Linked DNA regions of Struthio camelus. The protein of the gene in region 2 interacts with the protein of the main gene of each other region in a biochemical or structural test. Links are inferred from orthologs where the notes say so. Each region holds a gene or a part of one and is shown on either strand. Other genes may lie near its edges.

Region 1 (3,811 bases), on a different chromosome or scaffold from region 2:
AAATAAGTTACAGCCTTCTAAGTTTTCAGGAGATGATACAAACACTTACGCAGCCAAAAGAATTGCTGCAGTTCCTACAAGCTGCAGCTTCCCTCTGAGGACAGACATGCAGGAAAGAAACCTGTCCAGGAAGTTCACTGCCAAGTACAACGTCTCCGTGCGAAGTTTGTATTCTTCCCCTACTTCCACAAGCCAATCTACCAAGATGGCACGCATTCCTGTTGTGATATCTGGTTGTTTCCTCATATAGTATGGCTTTGGCCTGTATCTTATCTGCTCAGAAAGACAGGTGAAGAATTAGGACATTCATCTGAAGATGACCATTGATGGCTGAGTTTAAGGTATTTCACACTTACACCAGTAAGCCAAAAGTAGCAGAAGTAGTTCAACAATTGATAGCTAGTTAGTATTAACTAGCTATTACTTGTAGTCGTATTAAATAATAGCACCTCTACTAAGTTGCATGCTAACAAGAGACAGGAGTAATCTGTTAGTAGCAGAATAGCAAAAGACCTCTTGGACACTGAAGTTCAGCCTTTGCCATCAAGGCCATAAAAGCCATTCAGAAAAAGGGACCTGAAAGTAACTTTAAACAAATCAGGTTTCTTCCTTATTGGAAGGTTGTTCTTTTCCTTACCCTTCTGCATCAAAGTGGCAAGGTAAAGCTCTCTGATAACAGGAGAGCTGTCAGTGAGGTCACATCCAACTGCTTTAGTTTTTTTGCAGCATTTGATTCCCATCTGCAAGAACTATTTCTGGAAATTTGTCTTTAAGAGTCAAAAGATGCTGTAACAATGAGTATTTCCAGGAAGCAAAGTAATATTTGCAAAATCTCATCACTGTCTGAAGCCAGATTCATAGGCAGCTTCTAAAGACTGTTTTTGCTACCTGCTTTCTCCACTTTTGTAACTCAGTAGCAGGCTAGGGTCATCTTGGGGCAGCAATAAGCTTTGCAGCTCATCACAGAGTCCACAAATACCTTAGAATTATAAACTTGTAACAAATCACTCACTTCAGCTTCTCGGAGGTACTGATGAATGTCTTCTGCATATTCTCCCACAGTCATTATAGTTATTGCATCTCCCATCTGATCCTCAGGTTGGGATTGGAAGGATGTATCCACTATCATAGGAGACCCTAACAGGTTAGAGGAGCCAGCAACACATTTGATTAGCCTCCTCACCTTACTCTTGTCATTTCCAACACAGCAGATGCATTGTTGATCACAGTTATCTTGAAGTGCTATTTATTTCAAGATAAGCTAATCACTAGCTTGTGCTAACACCACAATTCATAGCTACCCTATGTGGATCTCTGCTATACTACTCGGTTAGTAGCCAGAACAGTTACCTGTACTCAGATCCAACAGTAGGTGAATATTGGATGTCATTGCACTAGTATCCAGTTCACACAGGCTAGAGTCCAGCTCTTCAACCACTGGGCAGTTGTAGTTTTCCTTCTGTTCTGGTTCATCTATATATATAGTAAACCCTTGCTTTGATGTGGCATCGACCATGCAGCTAGGCAATTCATCTTTTCCAGCTGGAGGGAAGCAGTTTTCAGAGCCAGAGAAATGTCTGATAACCATAGTACCCTGGAACAGAGTACACAGTAATGCTACAAGAGGGCAGTTCAGAAGATGACAGTAATTATAGCTTATTTTAGAGAGGAAGAGGAGTTGCTTTCTTTGGCTAACACAGATACCAAAACTCTAGAAGTTAACCAAGAAGAGAAAAAAACAAAAGAAATTAAAAACCTCCCCATAAACACAGAGCTACAAACAGCAGTTCAGAAATCTTGCTTGTTACTGTCTTGCTATAGTAGACACTTCACAGGCAAAGCGAGGTATACTGAAAGGTAAGAGCCAGGCGAGTCCTGAATAGCCTCTTCACCACTGCCTGCAAAGGCAAGCCAGCTGAGGCCAGCCCCATCAGAAACAAGCAGTGGCAGGTATGGGCTCTGCTCTGTCTGCAGTTTTTGCAAGCAGTGCTTATTTCAAGGCATAGCAAGCTAAAATATCACATGGAAGTTTTCAGAAGCTACCACAAACTCATGAAAGACTTCCCATAAAAGGAGGCACTTCATATTGAGTTACAAACCACAGTTTGCACCTCAGGACTCCAACACCTCAACACCCAGGGACTACAATGTGTGACCAGCAGGCAGTGCTTAATATCACTCACTTGTAATAAGCCATCAACTGAGTTAGGGGCTTTACACAGTCACAGCTGCAAAAAGCCCTTGTATAGGCACCAACTGCTACCTCAGCTCCAGCAAGCCAGCACAACGCTTCTGCCACAGCATCTGATTTCAGGAGGGCTTGAAAGGTCCAGGACACTCACTCTTCTGCAAGCTTTAGCTTTCTGGTGGGTACTCTGGCACCCACCAGGAATCACGGCCAGCCGCGGAGCAACGGGACCTTTGGGTCACCAGCAAACAGGCACCTAAACTTCGCCACCCCCTACCCTTCGTGGGGCGGGGGCAGTGCTAAGGCAAAGCCTCCCCGAGTCTCACCTTGCAGGAGGCGCTTCCGCCCGGAGCGCTCCCAGGGCCACGCCGGCGGGGGCGGTTACCGCAGCGGCCGCCTCCCTCCAGCCCCGCTACCTGCGCGCCCCCCCCCGCCGCTGCTGGGGGCTCACCTGGCCGCCGGGCCGCCGCCGCCGCCGCTGCTGCTGCCCGTTCTCCGCCAGCTCCCCCAGCACGGCCCGCCCGCCGGCGGCGCGGGGCTCCGGCCGCCCCGCACGGCTCTTCTCCCCGCTGCGGCGCATCGCCCCCGCGGGAGACAACAGCGGCAAACAGGCGACGAGTAGTTGTTGGTTGCGGCGCCGCCGCCTCGGTGCTCAGGGAGCGCTGCTGGAGAGTGGAGCCGGCCCGCTGCGCTGCGCTGCCGCCCCGCCGCCCCCTATATAGGCCGCGGCCAATGGGCGCCGGCGGCGGCTGTTGGCTGCGGCCAGTTGGACGCCGGGGCCGGCAACCCCCGGCCGCCGCGGCCCTGGCAACCCACGCGGCGGCGGCGGCGGCGGCGGTAGCGGCGGCGGCGGGTCGCCATGGAGACGCCGGCCCGGGGCCCGGCCCGGCGGGTGCCGCAAACCGCCCCGGCCGCGCTGCTGCCCTCGGCTCGGGGCACCGGCCGAGGCGGCCTTGGCCCCGCCGCCGGTGTCATCGGATTTTGGCGCAGGCAGGAGCCCGGCGGAAGCGAAGAGAGGACCGTAGCTTAGCGGCGTTTGATGGAGATACCGGGAGCGGTTGGGAGGAGACCGACGGAAGCCGGCCGCGGCGTTGAAGGCCGCCTGGATGGCGGATATGCCAAAACCAGCAGGCGGCTTCGTCTCCGGAAAAAGGAGGGCTCAGCAGGCCTGCCTGGGCGTGGGGGCACGCGCCGAAAGTTCGCGCTAGGTTTTGCTGCATCCGAAATTCACCTCCAGGCCTTTCTAGCGTTGGCATGCTAGGGTGAGCCGGGCACCCTCATGTTTCGGGAGCAAACCCCGAGGGACCTCGCCCCACCTCTGTGTCAGCAAGAGCAGGGCCCCGAAAAGCCTCGCACAAACCCAAGCGGAGCAGAGGCGCACCACCTCCGCCCGGAGATTTTCACTTCAGTCCAAGCAATCCCACGCAGCCAACTCCAGCAGCGGCCTGCCCGGCCGAAAATAGGAGAGTCTCATTTTAAGCTCTGATAGGCTTCAGATATCAGCTATGTTTTCCAGAAACAGAGAGTCGTTATATATAAGAGTCTAATTCTTTCAAAAGTGAAAAAGAGCTACTCCGCTGAGCTGTACAATTGGTGGCCAGGGTCAGAAATTGCCAAGAACTA
Region 2 (3,811 bases):
CTAGGGTTGTTAGCTCCGCTGCCGCTTCCAGCCTGCTGGGAGCTGGGTGCAGCGAGGCCACGTCTGCCCGCAGCCCCACGCGGACAGACTCAATGCTGCCAGCCTCAGCTCTGTCCTCGGGGACGCCACCTCCCATGCTCACTCCTGCAGGGCTGCTGCCCGCATGAGCTGAGCCGGGAGAGAGAGAACGGGCCAGGCACGCCCCGGCCCCCAGCGAGAGCCTCTGCAAACCGACACGGAGGGATGGGTAAAAGCAGCAGGGCACAAGCCCAGAGCCGCAGTCCAGCCCGCCTGGGTGCGATCCTGGCGGTGGTGGACCCCCATGTCCAGCTGGAGGAGGGCGAAGGCCGGGATCAGGCAGCGCTCCCAGCAGCAGCGCAGCCTGGGCTGTGACCCGGGCTCCGGCAGGGAGCTGAGCCAGTACCTTTCGCAGGGTTTCTCGCTTTGCCCCGGGCCGTCGGCAGGCTCTCTGCTATGTACTGGTGATCCGTCTCCAAGTTCAGCTTCCTCTTCACCTGCAAGAGACGGGTGGCTCCTCAGAGGACCGGACGGCACGGACATCGCCGTACCCCAGCACGTCCACGCTTCTGTGCGACGGACGCACGGCTCTGATGCGGAGCCCCAGGCACCCGCGCGGCTCAAACACAGGGGTCTGCTCCCAGCCCGGCCCCAGCAGCCGAGCGCCCTCGACAGGGAGGCGTTGGTGGCCCCACCTGGGAACCTCTGCAAGGGGGGACACCAGGGATTCGGCAGTGCGGAGCCTCCTGCGGCCGCAGCCTCGCACACCTCCCAGCTGGCCAGCCCAAGCGCATCCCTACGGATGGGCTCTCGGCACGCGCAGCCTCCTGCCTGCCCGCGGGCCACGGCGGAGGCTGTGCCGGCTGCAGGCACCCCGGGCAGGTGACAGCACCCGACCCCGGTGTCCCTGGGGTGCAGAGCCGGGGTGCTGCCTGCGCCCATCGCCGCTCCCTGGGCGGGCACAGTGTAAGGCCACGCAGACACCCCCAGAGCGTTTCTGAGCCCCAGCACAGATGGGATTAACTGGCAGGAGCCGGGAAAGCGCAGGGCACCCGATCCTGCTGCCAGCAGAGCAGCACCGGGCGCCCACCGCCACGCAGCCCGTGAGCCCAGGGGGCTGCAAAAGCACCGGCCACAGCGCTCTGCTCAGCCTCCTGCAACAAAAGCTTTGGGTGACCCGTCAGAGGGGGCTGGCCGGGCCCATCGCCCCCGTCTGCCACGGCGGGGACCGAGGCGCCCCACGGCAGCAGCCAGGCAAACGGCGCGTCTGCGAGGGACCGTGCGGCAGCGGGGAACGCGCACCCGCGGCACCGAGCGCGGCACGGCAACCGGCCCGGGCAGAGGGGTGCCCGATGCCGGGGCGCTCCCGCCCTGCGCGCGTCCAGGGGGAGCCAAGGAGCGGGAGCCGCCGGCCAGCTCGCAGGCGCAGCCGGGGGCCGGCCGCGGAGGGCTCCTGCGCCAGGGAGCGCTGCGAAGCGAGCGCGTCCCGGGCGCGCAGCAGATGCGCCGCACAGGAGGGGAGGCAGGAACCCGGCCCAGCTCGGAGGCGCGCGGCTTCCGGAGCAGGCAGCGCCCAGCGGGGCCGCGGCTCCGCCGGCCTGACGCAACCCGGGGAGCGGGGCCCTGCTTGGCAGGTGTGCTGCGTGGCAGGGCCTGGCCCGCGCGCCCCACGGGGCGCCGCTCGGCACGGCCCGGCCCGGCGTGGTGCGGTGCACAAAGACATTGCATAGCATGGCACACGTAACATGGTGCAGCACGGCACGATATAGCACAGCACTGTGCAACACGGCACAACATAGCACGGCACGATATAGCACGGCATTGTGCTGCACGGCACGACATAGCACGGCACAATATTCCACGGCACTGTGCTGCACGGCACGACATAGTGCTGCACGGCACGATATAGCACGGCACTGTGCAGCACGGCACAACATAGCACGGCACAATATAGCACAGCACTGTGCTGCACGGCACGACATAGCACGGCACAATATAGCACAGCACTGTGCTGCACGGCACGACATAGTGCTGCACGGCACGATATAGCACGGCATTGTGCAGCACAGCACAACATAGCACGGCACGATATAGCACGGCACTGTGCTGCACGGCACGATATACCACGGCACTGTGCTGCACGGCACGATATACCACGGCACTGTGCTGCACGGCACGATATACCACGGCACGATATAGCACGGCATTGTGCTGCATGGCACGACATAGTGCTGCATGGCACGACATAGCACGGCATTGTGCTGCACGGCACAGCATAGCCCGGCACGACATAGCCCGGCACGACATAGCCCGGCACGACATAGCCCGGCTCGGCGCTGGGCCGGTCTAGAGGCCCCGCCACAGCCGCGGGGGCCCGGGCTCGCCGTTCCCGGTCCGCGCCCCCCGCCCCGCCCCGTCCCGTCCCGTCCCGTCCCCGGCGGTTACCGGCGGGCGGCCCAGCGCGGGCCGGCGCGGCGCGGCGCCCGGGCGGGCGGGCTGCGGCGTGGCGAAGAGCAGGAGGTCGGCGTCGGGGCGGCCGCCGCCCGGGGGCTCCTCGGCCGCCGAGACGATGAGGAGGCGCGGGGAGGCGCCGCCCAGCAGCGCCGCCAGCCCCGCCGCGCCGCCCGCCGCCATGGCTCACATCGCCGGCGGCGCGGGGCTCGGCCCTCACGGCGGCGCGGCGGGCAGGGCGCGGGCGCGGGGGCGCGGCCGGCCGGCGGGGGCGCGGCCCATGCTCGGCGCGGCGCGGCGCGGCGCGGGCGCGGGCGCGGCGCGGCGGCCCCGGCGCGGGCTGGCCGCCGCCCGCGGGTATTGTTCGCCGCCGCCGCCGCTCCCGGCCCCGCACGCCTTTGCGCGCCAAATCCTTTTTGCCGCGAAAGCGGCGCGAGCCTCGCCGCCGCCCGCCCATTGGCTGCGCCCTCCGCCGGGCGCCGCAGCGGCGGCGGGCGGCGCCCCCCCATTGGCTGACGCCGCCGGATTGATAGGCGGCGCCGCCCGCCCCATTGGCCGCGGCCGGCGGCGCCGGACGCGCTGACAGCCGGCCAATCGGCGGCGCCGCGCCGAGGGAGGGGCCAATCAGGGGGTAGCTCGGGGACGCTGCGGCAGCGCCGCGTGGGTGAGGAGCGCTCGGCCGGCCCTTAAAGGGGACGTGCGCGGCGCTCCTGGGGCCTGTGTTCCCCGGCCCCTCTCTGCCCCACGGCCCCTCCCCCCCCCAGGCCCCACAGCCAGTGCCCCACGGCCCCTCTCTGCCCCACAGCCAGTGCCCCACGGCCCCTTCCCCATCCCAGGCCCCACAGCCAGTGCCCCACGGCCCCTTCCCCTCTCTGGGCCCCACAGCCTGGGCCCCACAGCCAGTGCCCCACGGCCCCTTCCCCTCTCTGGGCCCCACAGCCTGTACCCCACAGCCAGTGCCCCACAGCCAGTGCCCCACGGCCCCTTCCCCATCCCAGGCCCCACAGCTTGTACCCCTCAGCCCCACAGCCAGTGCTCCACGGCCCCTTCCCCATCCCAGGCCCCACAGCCAGTGCCCCACGGCCCCTCTCTGTCACACAGTCTGAGTCCCACAGCCCTTGCCCCACAGCCCCTCTGGTGCCCTGCAGCCAGTGCCCCCCAACCCCTTCCTCTCCATGCACCCCGCTGCCTGTGTTCCCCCCGGCCTCCTGTGCTCCCCCTGCGCGGGTCCCCGCTCTGCCGCGACCCACGGCGGCTCCCTCAGCCGGGGCCAGCCCTTTGCGGCCCAGGCCCGGGGCAGCTGGGTGGGTGCCCGGGTGCAGGGGGGCACCCGCCCCGGGGG
Region 3 (3,600 bases), on a different chromosome or scaffold from region 2:
AAGGATTTGTCTCTCCAAGCAAAAAAAGTCCAGCCAAGTGTAAGCAATCAAATCATCACGCTTAGATAACAACATTATTTTAGTCTGACATTTTCCTACGTTATTTGTTCTCAAATAACTAGCTGTATGTGAGCGACTGTTAAATAGCAAACAGGTATTCCTTAAGAAGCAGTTCGGCATTAAGAAAAAAATTAAATACCATGCTGGCCAGAGCCTGACGCCACCTTAGGGCGGGTGTCAAGAAAACATCACCAGGTAGCTATCAACGCAGTTACAGATTTAAAAGCAGGTAACGGGACCATCACACAGCTTTCCTAAGCCATTACAAAGGAACAACCCTATCGAGAAGGGAAAGTGCTTACTTTGACCCGTAACGCTCAGGGAGCCCGAGCATAACAACAGCCTCAGAGAATAACGTCAGAAACACAAAGAGGACCCCGCGGGACACTCGGGGGTACCCCGGCCCTGCCCCCTTTCTCCATGGAGAAGCGCTCACAGCGGGAGACAAACCCTCGCGCAGGGCCGGGGGCGGCAGCAGGGAGACCAACCCCGCCGCCGCCCTCCGCGGGGGCCCTAGCCCACCCCAGAGCCAGCCTGCGCCTCCTCACCCTCCGTTGAAGGTGTAGGGCGAGAAGCGGTACTGCACGGGCGCGCCGAGCCGGTAGCCCAGCTCGGGTGTGGGGTCCGCGTAGCCGGCGGTGGACAGCATCCCGACGGCGGCCGGCTGCTGTCTCACGGCAAAATGGCGGCACCGGAAGCGGAACTGGAGAGCAGCCGCTTCGCCGTATGTACGCTCTAGGAAGGCAGGAGGCCACCGCGCCTCGTCTGCCTCGGGCAGCGCCCCGCCCCTGGGGCCGGGCGGGGGCGGGGTCTGGGGCCGTTGGGGCGGCCGTTGGGGCGGCCGTCTCCCCGGGCAGGGGTACAGCTGGGGAGCGCGGTGGCGCCGACTGGCAGAGGGCAGTCGTCCGCCGCCCGCCAGCCTCCTCCGCAGTCAGCTCCAGCCGCGGGCCCGTGCCGCGCCGCAAAATGCAGCGGCTGCCGCTGTCATCTGCCTTTGCCGCTTCTCTGCCTTCTCACCACCCGGCAGGAGCAGGCGAGCTGTGGGCTCTGCGGGTCGCGCCCGTGTGCCTGTCCCTGCGCGGCTCCAGTCCTGCCTGGGGAGCCTCGTCTGCTGCGTTTGGTGGGGTCCCTAGCCAGGCACGACGTTTAGCGCCTTGGTTAGTTCTGGCGAGGTCAGGGTGCTGTGCTTTTTCTTCTTCCTGGAGTGGCGGCTGTTGGAGAAAAGCAGGGGAAGAGTAGCAGCCGTGAGAGGGTCGTGGGAGCCCCTCGTGTCTGAGCAGGCAGGAAAGAGGGTAGCGTTGAGGCTCCGGGTTTGGAAAGGAGAGGAGCACGCCCAGGGAGAAGCCCTCTGATGAGGAGAAGAAACTGGAGGCGCACCAGGCTCTTGAAACGGGAAGGGGGATGCGGTGCCTGGCACGGTGACACAGCCTAGGAAGGAATGGGAAGGCCTGGGGCAAGGAGTGCAGGGAGATGGCCGGGGTGGAGCCGTCGGGGAATAGCGGGATGTCACGGGCACGCGTGGTCTCCAGTGGAGAAACGTGGCCCCTCTGACCAGGAGAGAGTCCTGGTGGGGGACGCGCCAAGGCACCACTCCTGTAGCCCAGGGCCCGGCGCTGCGCAGCGCGCACAGCCTCCGGGGAAGGCTGGTGAAAACCAGGGGCGGGCTGGCGGTGGTACGGCGTAGGTGACTAAGGAGGCGAGCGAGGCGCGGTTTCTCTGGGGGCACGACCTCTCATTAAATCTCCCCTGATTATAGCACAGCCAGAAGCCAGTGAACAAGCTTCGGGACACACGAGCCCTCCTCCGGGTCTGAAACAGGAGCCAGGCACGCCGAAGCGAAACCCAGGCGGCGAGCACCCCGGCCGCCCTTCCGCCGCCGCCTGCCACCGCCCCGTCCGGCAGAGGGGCCCCAGAGGTGAGGCGGCCCCCATCCCCCTCCCCCACCGCGGGGTGGGGGGTGGGGGGGGCGCGCGGGCGCCCGGCGGAAGTGACGCGGTCGGGACGCGCCGGCGGCGCGGGCGCAGCTCGGCTGGCCGCTGGCTCTGCGCGGCGGCGGGTGGCGCCGGGGAGCGGCTAGGTACTGTCCGCGCTGCCGCTGCTCTGCCGGGGCCCGTCCGGCCGCCCGCGCCGCGGGGATACGGCGGCGGGGCCGCGATCGCGCAGGTCGAGACGGGCCTGGGGGAGGGGCGGGGGCGGGGCGAGGCGGGCGCCGCGGGGACGGGTTCGCCCCACACTTCCCCGCGGGCGCCGCCGCGGGGCCGGGGACCTTCGGGCCCGCCCTGAGCCACCGCGGAGCGGGGCGGGGGGGGGGGGAGGCTCCTGCGGCGGCCGGGCCGGGCCGGGCCGGGCCCCTGGGGCAGGCTTCGCGGCGGCCGTTGGCGCCGCTGGGTGTAATTGCGAGCAGCGGTTGCAGCCGGGGCCGTAACCGCCTGCCCACGTGACGGGGCGGTGCTGGCCCGCGGCCTTCCGGGTGGGGGGCGCGGGCGGGAAGGGCCGGGGGCGGCGGGGCCTGGCCCTCCGAGGGCTGCGGGAGCGGCGCTGGAAGCCGCTGGGGCCGAGGGGAGGCCAGCTCGCAGCCATGGCCCTCGCTGTGCGCCCAGTTGCGTGGTATCGGGGATGCCCGGAGGGGCTCGAGGGAGGTAGGGTCGCCGCCTTCTCGTGGGTGCCTTTTGCCTTTGGACTCTGTTCCCTGGGGAAACGTTAGTGGAGATCAGAGCGAGCCACGGTTAGGGGGTACAAGGCGGACCTTTGTGTAGGTGTTGTATGAACTGCGGGTCCTGGCATGCCTGGTATTTAGAGTTGTTACTAAACAGCTGGCCTGTGGAGGAGTTGGCTTTGTTTCTTCTGGGGTAATGTTAAAATTTTCAGTGTTCCTCGTGCACCCCCAAGCTGTAAAACTTGGGTGCTCTGTTGATACCTTCAGTGAGGGTAAATATAATGTATCTTATGATTGTAATTAAATAAACCCTTTTTAGCTGTGGCGTTCTGTTAGTGTAATTTTGAGCTCTCATGCTTTAAAAAAATAAAGGCTGAACAGGCTTTCTTCAGGTTTTCAAGTGGCTTACCTCAGGCCTAAAAATGACCTTGAATATTTCTGTGCAATAGGTAGCTAGTACCGAAAGCTATAAATTAATGAAAAAACATTAGGTAAAAAGTTATAACATTTAAATTGTCAATGTGCATTGGTTGTTTCCATAGCACCATAACAGAGGCATAGTTTAATTCATATTTAAAAAATAAAAAAAGCACGCACATGTTTCACAAGTACACCCTAAACTGGCTTTAACTTCTTTCTCTCTCTCTTATAAAGCACATGCCATTACTGGTTGAAATATCTTAGTGCTTTATTTTACCGAAGTGAATGGAAGAGGGTTTCATATTTCTAATTTAACTAGCAATGTTTTACTATAGAAAAAATTTTTAGAGGCCCAGGCCTCGCAATTGCACAGGAGGAGGCTTACCAGCAATGAGAGGCTTTAACTATCCTGGTTATTATAGTAGAGTTCAATTCTGAAAAATCATTACTTTTCCTAAATAAAG

Evidence for each region.
Region 1: the proteins of E2F1 (region 2) and CCNA1 form a complex in vitro, tested with the Homo sapiens proteins (2 studies listed by BioGRID). The link is inferred for Struthio camelus from reciprocal best matches to the Homo sapiens genes E2F1 and CCNA1.
Region 3: the proteins of E2F1 (region 2) and TBP form a complex in vitro, tested with the Homo sapiens proteins (2 studies listed by BioGRID). The link is inferred for Struthio camelus from reciprocal best matches to the Homo sapiens genes E2F1 and TBP.

The regions. Positions count from the first base shown.
Region 1 is NC_090942.1:196,579,595-196,583,405, forward strand, and holds the start of CCNA1 (cyclin-A1), read right to left. Parts: upstream 2,879-3,811; 5' UTR 2,769-2,878; coding exon 2,640-2,768; intron 2,547-2,639; exon of another isoform or gene 2,184-2,546; intron 1,595-2,183; coding exon 1,351-1,594; intron 1,138-1,350; coding exon 1,013-1,137; intron 274-1,012; coding exon 50-273; intron 1-49. UniProt on the Homo sapiens protein: May be involved in the control of the cell cycle at the G1/S (start) and G2/M (mitosis) transitions. May primarily function in the control of the germline meiotic cell cycle and additionally in the control of mitotic cell cycle in some somatic cells.
Region 2 is NC_090959.1:2,870,593-2,874,403, forward strand, and holds the start of E2F1 (transcription factor E2F1), read right to left. Parts: upstream 2,653-3,811; coding exon 2,464-2,652; intron 516-2,463; coding exon 425-515; intron 1-424. UniProt on the Homo sapiens protein: Transcription activator that binds DNA cooperatively with DP proteins through the E2 recognition site, 5'-TTTC[CG]CGC-3' found in the promoter region of a number of genes whose products are involved in cell cycle regulation or in DNA replication.
Region 3 is NC_090944.1:92,254,941-92,258,540, reverse strand, and holds the start of TBP (TATA-box-binding protein), read left to right. Parts: upstream 1-860; 5' UTR 861-1,217; exon of another isoform or gene 1,218-1,232; intron 1,233-1,240; exon of another isoform or gene 1,241-1,340; intron 1,341-1,816; 5' UTR 1,817-1,975; intron 1,976-2,033; exon of another isoform or gene 2,034-2,223; intron 2,224-2,539; exon of another isoform or gene 2,540-2,699; intron 2,700-3,600. Other genes in the region: PSMB1 (proteasome subunit beta type-1), read right to left, coding at 609-709. UniProt on the Homo sapiens protein: The TFIID basal transcription factor complex plays a major role in the initiation of RNA polymerase II (Pol II)-dependent transcription.